3 linked regions of the Stegostoma tigrinum genome follow. The protein of the gene in region 1 binds, or shares a complex with, the protein of each later gene. Links are inferred from orthologs where the notes say so. Each region holds a gene or a part of one and is shown in the gene's direction. Other genes may lie near its edges.

Evidence for each region.
Region 2: the proteins of eif2b2 (region 1) and eukaryotic translation initiation factor 2 subunit 1 are in contact, whole or in part, in a cryo-EM structure (PDB 6K71), measured with the Homo sapiens proteins. The link is inferred for Stegostoma tigrinum from reciprocal best matches to the Homo sapiens genes EIF2B2 and EIF2S1. Residues at the interface, in NP_055054.1 of Homo sapiens: Glu92, Arg95, Gln128, Ser131, Asn132, Glu135, Ala136, Glu139, Val142, Glu143, Glu145, Glu149, Asn150; in NP_004085.1 of Homo sapiens: Leu51, Ser52, Arg53, Arg54, Ile56, Asn60, Lys61, Leu62, Arg64, Arg67, Lys87, Ser91.
Region 3: eif2b2 (region 1) and eif2b3 share a complex: the UniProt entries of both Homo sapiens proteins name them as parts of the translation initiation factor 2B (eIF2B) complex. The link is inferred for Stegostoma tigrinum from reciprocal best matches to the Homo sapiens genes EIF2B2 and EIF2B3.

The regions. Positions count from the first base shown.
Region 1 is NC_081363.1:814,815-818,561, forward strand, and holds the start of eif2b2 (translation initiation factor eIF-2B subunit beta), read left to right. Parts: upstream 1-992; 5' UTR 993-1,021; coding exon 1,022-1,172; intron 1,173-3,179; coding exon 3,180-3,300; intron 3,301-3,747. UniProt on the Homo sapiens protein: Acts as a component of the translation initiation factor 2B (eIF2B) complex, which catalyzes the exchange of GDP for GTP on eukaryotic initiation factor 2 (eIF2) gamma subunit.
Region 2 is NC_081363.1:69,341,738-69,345,484, reverse strand, and holds the start of eukaryotic translation initiation factor 2 subunit 1, read left to right. Parts: upstream 1-977; 5' UTR 978-1,273; intron 1,274-1,502; exon of another isoform or gene 1,503-1,693; intron 1,694-3,747. Other genes in the region: atp6v1d (V-type proton ATPase subunit D), read right to left, coding at 235-275. UniProt on the Homo sapiens protein: Member of the eIF2 complex that functions in the early steps of protein synthesis by forming a ternary complex with GTP and initiator tRNA. This complex binds to a 40S ribosomal subunit, followed by mRNA binding to form a 43S pre-initiation complex (43S PIC).
Region 3 is NC_081361.1:72,955,697-72,959,443, reverse strand, and holds the start of eif2b3 (translation initiation factor eIF-2B subunit gamma), read left to right. Parts: upstream 1-886; 5' UTR 887-1,153; intron 1,154-3,747. UniProt on the Homo sapiens protein: Acts as a component of the translation initiation factor 2B (eIF2B) complex, which catalyzes the exchange of GDP for GTP on the eukaryotic initiation factor 2 (eIF2) complex gamma subunit.

The DNA.
Region 1 (3,747 bases):
GGGCAGGATTGACTGCCACGAGGGGCCATAGTTTTAAGGTGTTAGGAGGAAGGTATAGAGGAGACGTCAGAGGGAGGTTCTTCACCCAGAGAGTTGTGAGCGCATGGAATACTTTGCCAGTGGTAGTCGTGGAAGCAGAGTCATTAGTGACATTTAAGCGACTGCTGGACATGCACATGGACAGCAGTGAATTGAGGGGAATGTAGGTTAGGTTATTTTATTTTTGGATTAGGATTATTCCACGGCACAACATCGTGGGCCGAAGGGCCTGTACTGTGCTGTACTTTTCTATGTTCTATGGGGGACAGGTAATGGGGAGGGGAGAGGGAGAGGGTGAGATGGGGGAGGGGAGATGGGGGATGGTGAGAGGGTGAGATGGGGGATGGTGAGAGGGTGAGATGGGGGATGGAGAGAGGGTGAGATGGGGGATGGTGAGAGGGTGAGATGGGGGATGGTGAGAGGGTGAGATGGGGGATGGTGAGAGGGTGAGATGGGGGATGGGGAGAGGGTGAGATGGGGGATGGTGAGAGGGTGAGATGGGGGATGGGGAGAGGGTGAGATGGGGGATGGAGAGAGGGTGAGATGGGGGATGGTGAGAGGGTGAGATGGGGGATGGTGAGAGGGTGAGATGGGGGATGGTGAGAGGGTGAGATGGGGGATGGGGAGAGGGTGAGATGGGGGATGGGGAGAGGGTGAGATGGGGGATGGGAGATGGGGAGAGGGTGAGGGGAGATGGGGGATGGGGGAGGGGAGATGGGGATGGGGAGAGGGTGAGATGGGGGATGGGTAATGGCGGGGGGGAAGGGAGAGGGTGAGATGGGGGAGGGGAGATGGGGGATGGGGAGAGGGTGAGATGGGGGATGGGTAATGGCGGGGGGGAAGGGAGAGGGTTTGTTTTTTGGAATCGCCTTCCCTCACCAACATGGCGACTGGCCTGTGCCGCTGACTGGCGATGGGTGGTTTCCGGTTCCGCTCTATCCGTCGGTCTTTCCCTTCCCCCAAACTGTATTTTAGTTCCGCCATGCCGGCCGCTCAGCCCGATGTGTCCGAGCGGGTCGCCGCTTTTCTTGGCCAGTTGTCCCGGGGCGAGCTGCGCCGCTCCGGGGAGGTTGCGGCTGGAACCGCGGGTCTCCTGCGGCAGATAGTGGCCCACAGCAGGTGGAACAACGCAGGTAGCGGAGAAGAGGGAATATTCCCCCACTCCCCGGGTCTGGGTATCCCCCCCACTCCCCGGGTCTGGGTATCCCCCCCCCCACTCCCCGGGTCTGGGTATCCCCCCTCCCCGGGTCTGGGTATCCCCCCCTCCCCGGGTCTGGGTATCCCCCCTCCCCGGGTCTGGGTATCCCCCCCTCCCCGGGTCTGGGTATCCCCCCCCCCCCCCCACTCCCCGGGTCGGGGTATCCCCCCCCCCCCCACTCCCCGGGTCTGGGTAGTTACCCCCCCCCACTCCCCGGGTCTGGGTAGTTACCCCCCCTCCCCGGGTCTGGGTATCTCCCCCCCCCTCCCTCCCCGGGTCTGGGTATCTCCCCCCCCCCCCCCCACTCCCCGGGTCTGGGTATCCCCCCCCCCCCCCCCCACTCCCCGGGTCGGGGTATCCCCCCCCCCCCACTCCCCGGGTCTGGGTAGTTACCCCCCCCCACTCCCCGGGTCTGGGTAGTTACCCCCCCTCCCCGGGTCTGGGTATCTCCCCCCCCTCCCTCCCCGGGTCTGGGTATCTCCCCCCCCCCCCCACTCCCCGGGTCTGGGTATCCCCCCCCCCCCCCACTCCCCGGGTCTGGGTATCCCCCACTCCCCGGGTCTGGGTATCCCCCCCTCCCCGGGTCTGGGTATCCCCCCCTCCCCGGGTCTGGGTATCCCCCCCTCCCCCACTCCCCGGGTCGGGGTATCCCCCCCTCCCCCACTCCCCGGGTCGGGGTATCCCCCCCCCCACTCCCCGGGTCTGGGTATCCCCCCCTCCCCCCCTCCCCGGGTCTGGGTATCCCCCCCCTCCCCCACTCCCCGGGTCGGGGTATCCCCCCCTCCCCCACTCCCCGGGTCGGGGTATCCCCCCCCCCACTCCCCGGGTCTGGGTATCCCCCCCTCCCCCACTCCCCGGGTCTGGGTATCCCCCCCACTCCCCGGGTCTGGGTATCCCCCCCTCCCCGGGTCTGGGTATCCCCCCCTCCCCGGGTCTGGGTATCCCCCCCCCCCACTCCCCGGGTCGGGGTATCCCCCCCCCCCACTCCCCGGGTCTGGGTAGTTACCCCCTCCCCGGGTCTGGGTATCCCCCCCCCTCCCCGGGTCTGGGTATCCCCCCCCCTCCCCGGGTCTGGGTATCCCCCCCTCCCCGGGTCTGGGTATCCCCCCCCCCCCCACTCCCCGGGTCGGGGTATCCCCCCCCCCCACTCCCCGGGTCTGGGTAGTTACCCCCTCCCCGGGTCTGGGTATCCCCCCCTCCCCGGGTCTGGGTATCCCCCCCTCCCCGGGTCTGGGTATCCCCCCCCCTCCCCGGGTCTGGGTATCCCCCCCCTCCCCCACTCCCCGGGTCGGGGTATCCCCCCCCCCCACTCCCCGGGTCGGGGTAGTTACCCCCCCCCCACTCCCCGGGTCGGGGTATCCCCCCCTCCCCGGGTCTGGGTATCCCCCCCTCCCCCCCTCCCCGGGTCTGGGTATCCCCCCCTCCCCCCCTCCCCGGGTCGGGGTATCCCCCCCTCCCCCCCTCCCCGGGTCTGGGTATCCCCCCCCCCCACTCCCCGGGTCGGGGTAGTTACCCCCCCCCACTCCCCGGGTCGGGGTATCCCCCCCTCCCCGGGTCTGGGTATCCCCCACTCCCCGGGTCTGGGTATCCCCCCCTCCCCGGGTCGGGGTATCCCCCCCCCCCACTCCCCGGGTCTGGGTATCCCCCCCCCCCACTCCCCGGGTCTGGGTATCCCCCCCCCCCCACTCCCCGGGTCTGGGTAGTTACCCCCCCCCCACTCCCCGGGTCGGGGTAGTTACCCCCACACCACCACCTCTCCAGGCTCTACACATTTACTCTTGGGCTTGGATATTTAGTCTCCCAGAGCCGCCACCCTGCCCCCTCAGATTCCAGGTATTTACCCCCAGGTCTGAGTACTTATTCCCTCCTTGTCTCTCCTGGGTATTTATACCAACAGCCTGGTTGTTTCTGTCTCTAATATTCTGATTTTACCCCCTTTTAGGGGAGTTACTGAAATTGATCCGAACTGAAGGACGGAGGATGATTGCAGCTCATCCCTCGGAGACCAGTGTGGGGAACATCATTCGGCGAGTAATGAAGATCATTCGAGAGGAATACAGTCGGTGAGAGCAGTGAGGCACACTGACTGACCCAGGGAGTGACGGGTGGGTGACCATACCCGGGCACTGACTGACCCAGGGAGTGACAGGGTGGGTGACCATACCCGGGCACTGACTGACCCAGGGAGTGACGGGTGGGTGACCATACCCGGGCACTGACTGACCCAGGGAGTGACGGGGCGGGTGACCGTACCCGGGCACTGACTGACCCAGGGAGTGACGGGGCGGGTGACCATACCCAGGCACTGACTGACCCAGGGAGTGACGGGTGGTTGACCATACCCGGGCACTGACTGACCCAGGGAGTGACAGGGTGGGTGACCATACCCGGGCACTGACTGACCCAGGGAGTGACGGGTGGTTGACCGTACCCGGGCACTGACTGACCCAGGGAGTGACGGGGCGGGTGACCATACCCGGGCACTGACTGACCCAGGGAGTGACGGGTGG
Region 2 (3,747 bases), about 69 Mb from region 1:
CGACTGACACTCTCAATTTTTATTTAGTTTCGACTGTAAAAGTTCCTTTATTTGGAAATAGTTCGATGATTCAGGAAGAAATGGGCCAGCACTTTTAAACGCAGTTTCATTCCAACAGCCCTTCACCTGAGCCAAAATTTAAAATGCTAAACTTTAAAATTTCCAGGTCGGAGCACTAAAGCAAAAGTCAAACTTGAGATGGCTAAAAACCGTAATCAAAAATCTGACACTCACATTCGCGATGGGAAGATCTCAATCCTCTCCTTGCCTGACATGTTTGGCTATTTCTTGAGGTGGGGGGGGGGGGGGGGGGGAAGATCCAATAGCTGGTGGAAAAGATGAAAATCTTTGCAATCGACAAGGAGTGTCCCGTGACCTTCAGCAGGTTGTAAGGCTAAGCCCTAGTGGGGCTACTTCCTCCTATAATTTTCTACTAACTTTCTTCGGTCGACTCGAGCAAATTGTTGGTTTCCACGGATCAGCAGCTGGCAACATCACGTGACAGGGCGGAGGTGACCTGTGACCTCCCTCACCACCGGGTTAACCGTCGTCCAAATATTCTAGATGGGGATTTTAATTTTTTTAAATGAAGTATCTCTTAGTGTTGCTGTTTGCTTCGCCAATTCCATATCTCACCGTTTTATCTCGCTGTTATTAACTATCTACGATCCTTTACCAAGATGGCGGCGACACGTCGTTACACCCGGCTGCCCCTTCATTTCCAGTCCTCCGTCAATACTAGAGAGCGAAAACCTAACAAAGCTATCGTGCAAAAGCACAATGTGTGTGAGTCGCGTCTAATGAATGAATGCTACAAATCAAGGCCGCTCCGCGATATCGATCGCGACTTCCAAGGTTACTTGGAGTGACGTTTCACTCCGCCCTCCTCTCGGCTTCAGGTCGCAGCTCCGCGCTTGCGCAGAAGCGGGGTTTCTGGCGAAGGGACGTACTTGCGCTGCGCACGAGAGATTCTGCGGTGCAGAGATAGTAGGAGCTGCAGAAACGTTAGCTTTCCTGCACCTCTGATGCTGCTTGGCCTGTTTTCTTCAGCCAGCTGTACACCTTGTTATCTCAGATTCTGCGGTGCAACGTGAGGATAAACATTGCCGCGCCTGCGCAGAATAAAGCGTGCGCCGTAACAGTTACGGAAAACGGCGTCGCGCCTGCGTAGAAAAGTAATTGTGGGAACAACGGAAATAGCGCGAGTCGGAGTGTGGGCCTGAGGTGCTGACCGTCCTCGTTCGCAGCAGCGCTGCCTACAGATTCTGCTCAAGTAAGTGAGTCCCAGTGCTGTCCTCATATCGGGAGCCGCAGTCCACCCCCCACGCCACTGATTCGCTGGTTAAGGCGGATCTAGATTCCGGCCCAATGCCAGCATGTTTTATGGTCATGTCGGCTCCTCAACTCGGGCTTCACCTGCGGGCCCATCCGGGCCTCTCTCTCTCTCTCTCTCTCTCTCTCTGTGTGTTTTTTTTGTGCGGCCTCTTTCTATCACTCGTGCCATTTTTCACTCCACTTTAAAGCTACCACCTGGAATGTGGCAGCTTCCAGGGTGGTGATGTCCCCACTTCTGACCCAGCAGATCCAGGTTGAAGTCCCATCTGTTCCAGAGGTATTCCACGAACAGGTTGATTAGAAAATAATTACAGCCACTGTGATTAAACTGAGGATTCTTGAAGTTCACAGATGGAAGGTACTTTGATTGCATCATTCTTAAAGTGAAATCCCAAGGGATGAAAGGCCTTAATATTCACTTCGTGATCAAGGAATTTCTTTTCTATCTTTGCTGATTTAGGAATTGAACTAGGTTTGGCTTGAAGTTCATACTTCTGTCAGACTAGGTATTTGGAATTAAAGTTTTAAAGAGATCTTCATTATGTCACGAGTAGGATGAAGTATTCAAATGAGGTATGACTGCATTATTGCTGACTGCTTTTCAGTTTTCTAATTTCTTTGTAGATAGATATTTTTTTTTATTAGCCTTGTCCAAATCTGAATCCTTGTCCTGAAGCTATTTACATGAAATAAAGTACAGATGATCATTATTGAAAATAGCATTGAAATGAAAATTGTACCATGAAGTATCAGTTGTGTCACAAAAATGGTCAGATTAATTGTCAGTTTGAACTGATATATGCAATTAGTGTTGGCTGGAGGCTGCTGTTGATTTCTGATTGAAGTTTATTGAGACATCTGAAGCCTGCCTCAAAATATGTTCTTAGGTGTTGATTCATGGCTCCATTGTAATTTCTTGTTTGGTGTTGGAATAATTACATGTGCAAGTCTCCAATGGCAGATTGGAAACTTCCTACAAAGTGTCAATATCAAACTTTATTAGTACTGTTGATATCTTCTAATCAATCTGTTCAGAGATGTCATTCCACACATAGAACCTAGGCCCACACCTTGACTTAGAGGTAGGTACCTCCTAAGAGTCCCATTGTGGTACTTTATTTTAATCAAGCTGCTCAGATACATTATGACACACATCTGAAGGATTGAAGCTGGGCCTCCTGGCTCTGAAGTAGGGACAGTGCCTTCCACCAGGGTGTCCAGTCTTGTTTCTTTATATCCTGGGGAATTAATGGAATTCAATTCATATGCATGGTCCTATCAGCAAGTTGTCCCTTGGCTTCTTCTGTGTTGGGAATGGCAGTCTGCAGCCTTGTTTAATCAAGGTGAGACTCTGCCTCATGGGAGTAAAATTGAAACTGTGGGCCCAGTGGAAATCCAGCTTCTAGTGGCATCTTTTACATCTGAAACTTTGCTGTCAGAATACTCTGCCTTTTTGCTCCCATGGAAGCACCAGGGCTTGATCTGTTGTATTACAAGTGTAGTTTTGTTTTGGCATCTTGCACTGGCCTTGTGGGCCAGAAAGCTTGAATTATGAGGAAAGGTTGGATAGGCTTGGGTTTTCATTGGAGCAGAGAAGACTAAAGGGCGATCTCATTGACGTGTACAGGATTATGAAGGGCATGGATATAGTGGATAAGGAACCACTGTTCCCCTTAGTTGGAGGGTCAGTGGTGAGGGCAGAAGGTTTGAGAGATATGTGGAAAAAATCTTTTATCCATAGGGTGGTGACAGTCTGGAATGTGCCTCTTTGGAAGGTGGTAGAGACAAATTGCCTCCATGCTATAACAAGTACATGGTTCAGTACTTGGCATGTCAGAACGTTCAAGACTGTGGGCTAACCGCCAGTATTGGTTCAGGCTCGATGGGTTGAACAGTCTCTTCTGCTCTGTTTCATTCTGTGACCTCATGATTTGGTGTTCATCTTTTTGAGAATTTAGGCTTGAGAGTTCAGAAACATTTCCACTGAGCAAGAGAAGACTAAGAGGTTAAAATTATGAAGGGTTGCGAGGCAATTTGGCCAACAGCTGTTTTAAAATCTGGGTCAGTTGTAGGAGGACATCAATTGAAATGAGTTCGGCAAGTTAGGATAAACTTGCAGGAACTTGCCCTGCTCTGACACAGAGCAGTGAAAGCAGAAGCCAGTGCATCTTTTAATGGAAGGGAAAAGTATTAGAAGAGATGAGATTTTGAGGATAAGTGTAACTAATGGGATGATTTTCAATTATTCTAGCAGTAAGCTAGGTCATGAAAACACACCTTCATAGGTAAATTCCTGTGGTTCCAAATTCTCTCTAACTCTTTCCCTCACCATTAACAAAGAAATTTCACGTAAAAACACTAGTCAGTGCAATGTACAATATTCAAGCTTCAGTACTATATCGATAGAATCAG
Region 3 (3,747 bases), on another chromosome or scaffold:
ATGGAAACAGACCCATTGGTCCAACTAGTCCACGCTGACCAGGTTCCCAAACTAAATTAGTCCCAGTTGCCTGCATTTGTCTCAGATCCCCCCAAACCTTTCCTACTCATGTACTTATCGAACTTCTTTTAAAGGTTGTTACTGAACCTGCATCCATTATTTCTTCCGCAGTTCATTCCAAACATTGTAAAAAAGTTGGTCCTTTTTAAAACTTTCTCCAATCCCCTCAAAAATATGCCCCCTAGTTTTGAACTCCACCACACAAGAAAACTATTCACCTCACCTATGCCCATGATTCAGACATTAGTGTTTGGATTTCTGCATTTAATTGTGAATCTGATCTTGTCTGAAGTTGTTGGGGCAGATATGCACATTTAACGACAGTAAAGGACAGTGGTCTCACCGATATGGCCCCATATAATTTTGGGGTGTTAAGATACTGAAAGAAAATTGCAGTGCAAGCACAAGAAACAGTAGTACTGCTGCAGGAATTAAGAAGTGTCCACAGTTTAAAGGGCTAAGATTGATCATTACTGGTTTTCCATTTGTAAAGAGGCCAGGAAAGATTCTTTGCTGGTAGGGTTTGAAACAGAAAAGGGAGCCACTCTGTGTCCCTGTGGACTATGTAAACCCAATACTGCTGAGAGGGGGCTTATAGCAAAACATTAGTGTCAACCCTATCACTGCATGCACAGCCATAAAACGTTTAACAAACATAATTAGCTACAATATTTCCAGCGTTTTCTGTCTTTCAATCAACACCTATAAAACAAAGTAATTAGTCCATCTTGAGATTCAGTGAAATGAACATAATGTGAATGCAATAATTTTGAAAAAGTGGCCTTGTTCATGTATTTTTTTTAGACCAGTTGAGTTGTGGAAATGAGCGAGGGAGCAGGTGTAGTGTTCGCACTGAGAGATCTCCCTCGGAACCTTGTTCTGGGGCCGCAGTAATTCCGTTTCCCTGCGGACACAAATTCACCCGAACACACGACATGGTGGACGTGAGATGACAGTGTTTCTTTTAGACTCGTACACCGTCTAACGACCCGCATTGGGCCCGCCAGTTCGGTTCACCGCCCCTCGTTCCTTTCTCCGGCTGCTTTTCGACACCGACCGAGGCCTTGCCGTATTCCGGGAGCGGAGCGAGGAGGTAAACAGGAGGGAGAGCCATGTGTGTCTGTGGGCTGTGTTGGTGGAATTAGAGGGAGGGGAAGGGAATGGAGCCGGTAGGACCTGGGGGTTTTGGAAGTTTGGGATGAGTGGAAACAGGGAGCTGCGAAGTTTTGAGGCAGTACTGAAGGGGAAGGGAATGGGTTCGGGTTCGGGTTCGGGGTTGGGTGACATTGTAATCAAATGGGGAGAAGAGCCGATCCCTGGTTAAGACACGTTTGAGCATGGAATCCTCCCAACTATAATATATTCCAGAAAGTAAAAACCCTTGTAAGGCGGGTGGGAGAAAACATCCGTGGCTAAGCAAGGAAGCTAAAGATTACATAATGACAAGAAAAAGGACTAAACTATACCTTGTTGCAAAGGCCAGTGGCAGGCTGCAAGATTGTGAAACTTAAAGATCAATAAAAGGCTACTAAAAATGTAATAAAAAGAGCAAAAGGATGTACTATAGCTGAATTTGCTGATGACACTAATCTAGGTGGGAAAGTAAGTAGCAATCGAAAAGTAAAGGTGAAGAGTGGAAACAAAACTGGCTGGAAAATCACTGCAGGTCTGGCAGCATCTGTGAAGACAAAATCAGAGTTAACACTTCAGGTCTGGTGACCCTTTCTCAGAACTCTGAGAAAAGGTTTCTTCCACCCAGAGAGTGTTAAATACATGGGACATGCTGTTTGAGGGGGTGGTGGAGGCAGGTACTCGCAGCGTTTAAGAGGCATCTGGTTGAGTGTTTAAAATACCATGGCACAACAGGCTACAGACTTCGTGCAGTCGAATGTGATTAGTGTAGTTTGGTGCTTATTGTTTGGCATTGACATGGTGAGGGGAAAAAAGCCTGTTTCAATGCTATATGACTCTATGACTAAATGTACAAATATATATGGAATAGGTTAGGTGAATAGGCCAAAAACTGGCAGATTGAGTTTAATGTGGATAAGTGCTCAGTTATCAATTTTGGTTGTTAAGAGTAGAGCAGCAACTTATGATCTAAATTACCTTGTATAAATGAAAAGAAACTTAAGCATGCATTACTGCAGTGAGACCTGGTTGTCCTTTGTGTATGAGTTATAGCAAACAAGATTGCTGGTCCAGCAGGTAATAAGAAAGGCAAACGGAATTTTGGAAATTCCAAAGGAATTCTCTATTCTAAAGGAATAAAGTATAAAAATAAGAAAGTGTTGTTGCAGTTGTAAAGGAATCAATGATACTGGGCTGTTGCTGCAATTGTACAAGACATTAATGAGTCTAGACCTGTGTAGTTTAGGCCTATACTCACTTGAGACTAGGAGAACGGGAGAAGATCTAATTGAATTCACAGATCATAGAATCCCTAGAGTGTGGAAACAGGCCCTTCAGCCCAACAAGTCCACGCCGACTCTCGGAGCATCCCATCCAGACTCATTTCCCCTACAAGCCACCTAATCGACATATCGCTGAACACTACGGGCAATTTAGCACAGCCAGTCCACCTAGCCTGCACATCTTTGGACTGTGGGAGAAATCTGGAGCACCTGGAGAGAACCCACACGGACACTGGTAGAAAATGCGAACTCCACGCAGACAGTTGCCCAAGGGTGGAGTTGAACCTGGGTCCCTGGCACTGAGACAGCAATGCTGACCATTGAGCCACCATGCCATCCCAAATCTGCAACTTGAGGAAGTATAATCGGCAGGATATGATCCTGTGTGGGGAAACCCCAATGGATTTCCTAATCCAAGATAATAAAGTGTGAAGCTGGATGAACACAGCAGGCCAAGCAGCATCTCAGGAGTACAAAAGCTGACGTTTTGGGCCTAGACCCTTCATCAGCTTTTGTGCTCGTGAGATGCTGCTTGGCCTGCTGTGTTCATCCAGCTTCACACTTTATTATCTTGGATTCTCCAGCATCTGCAGTTCCCATTATCTCTGGATTTCCTAATCCGTTGTCTTAACCACTCAACCATGATTACAGTGGCGTGTATTATAAATGCTAAAGGGGATTAGCAAAGTAGACGCAAAGAGAATTTTTCCTTTTGCGTGGTGTCTAGAATGAGAGGTCATAGTTTTAAGATAAGGGACAGCAGATTTAAAACATGAGAAATTACTTCTCTCAAAGGGTCGTGACCCTGTGGAATTCGCTACCCCAGAGTGCAGTGGACGCTGGGATGTTGAATACATTTGAGGAAGAAATTGACAGGTTTTTAATTAGTAACGGGCTGAAGGGTTATGGGGAACTGCCAGTAAAGTGAAGTTGCGGCCGAGATGAGATTTGCCATGATTGTATTGAATTTTGGAGCAAGCTCGAGGGACTGAATTGCTTCCTTCTGCTCTTAGCTCTCTTGTTCTTAGGAACTGAGCTGAACCCCAGAGAAGTGGACTTAAGCCTTGTGAGACAACTAGTAATGTTAGCTGTTCACACCAGGTAGCTGATGACACAGGAGAAATTTAATCAAAGTAGTCTTGGGGGAATAATTATAAAGGGGGTCATTTGCAAATGATTGTTGCAGAGGTGGAAGTTAGCAGTTTTGGCAGTGCCTAGGTTGTGAGCTGTTTCAACCTATTCCCTGTAGTTTGAAATAGTTGCATTTTTGGGC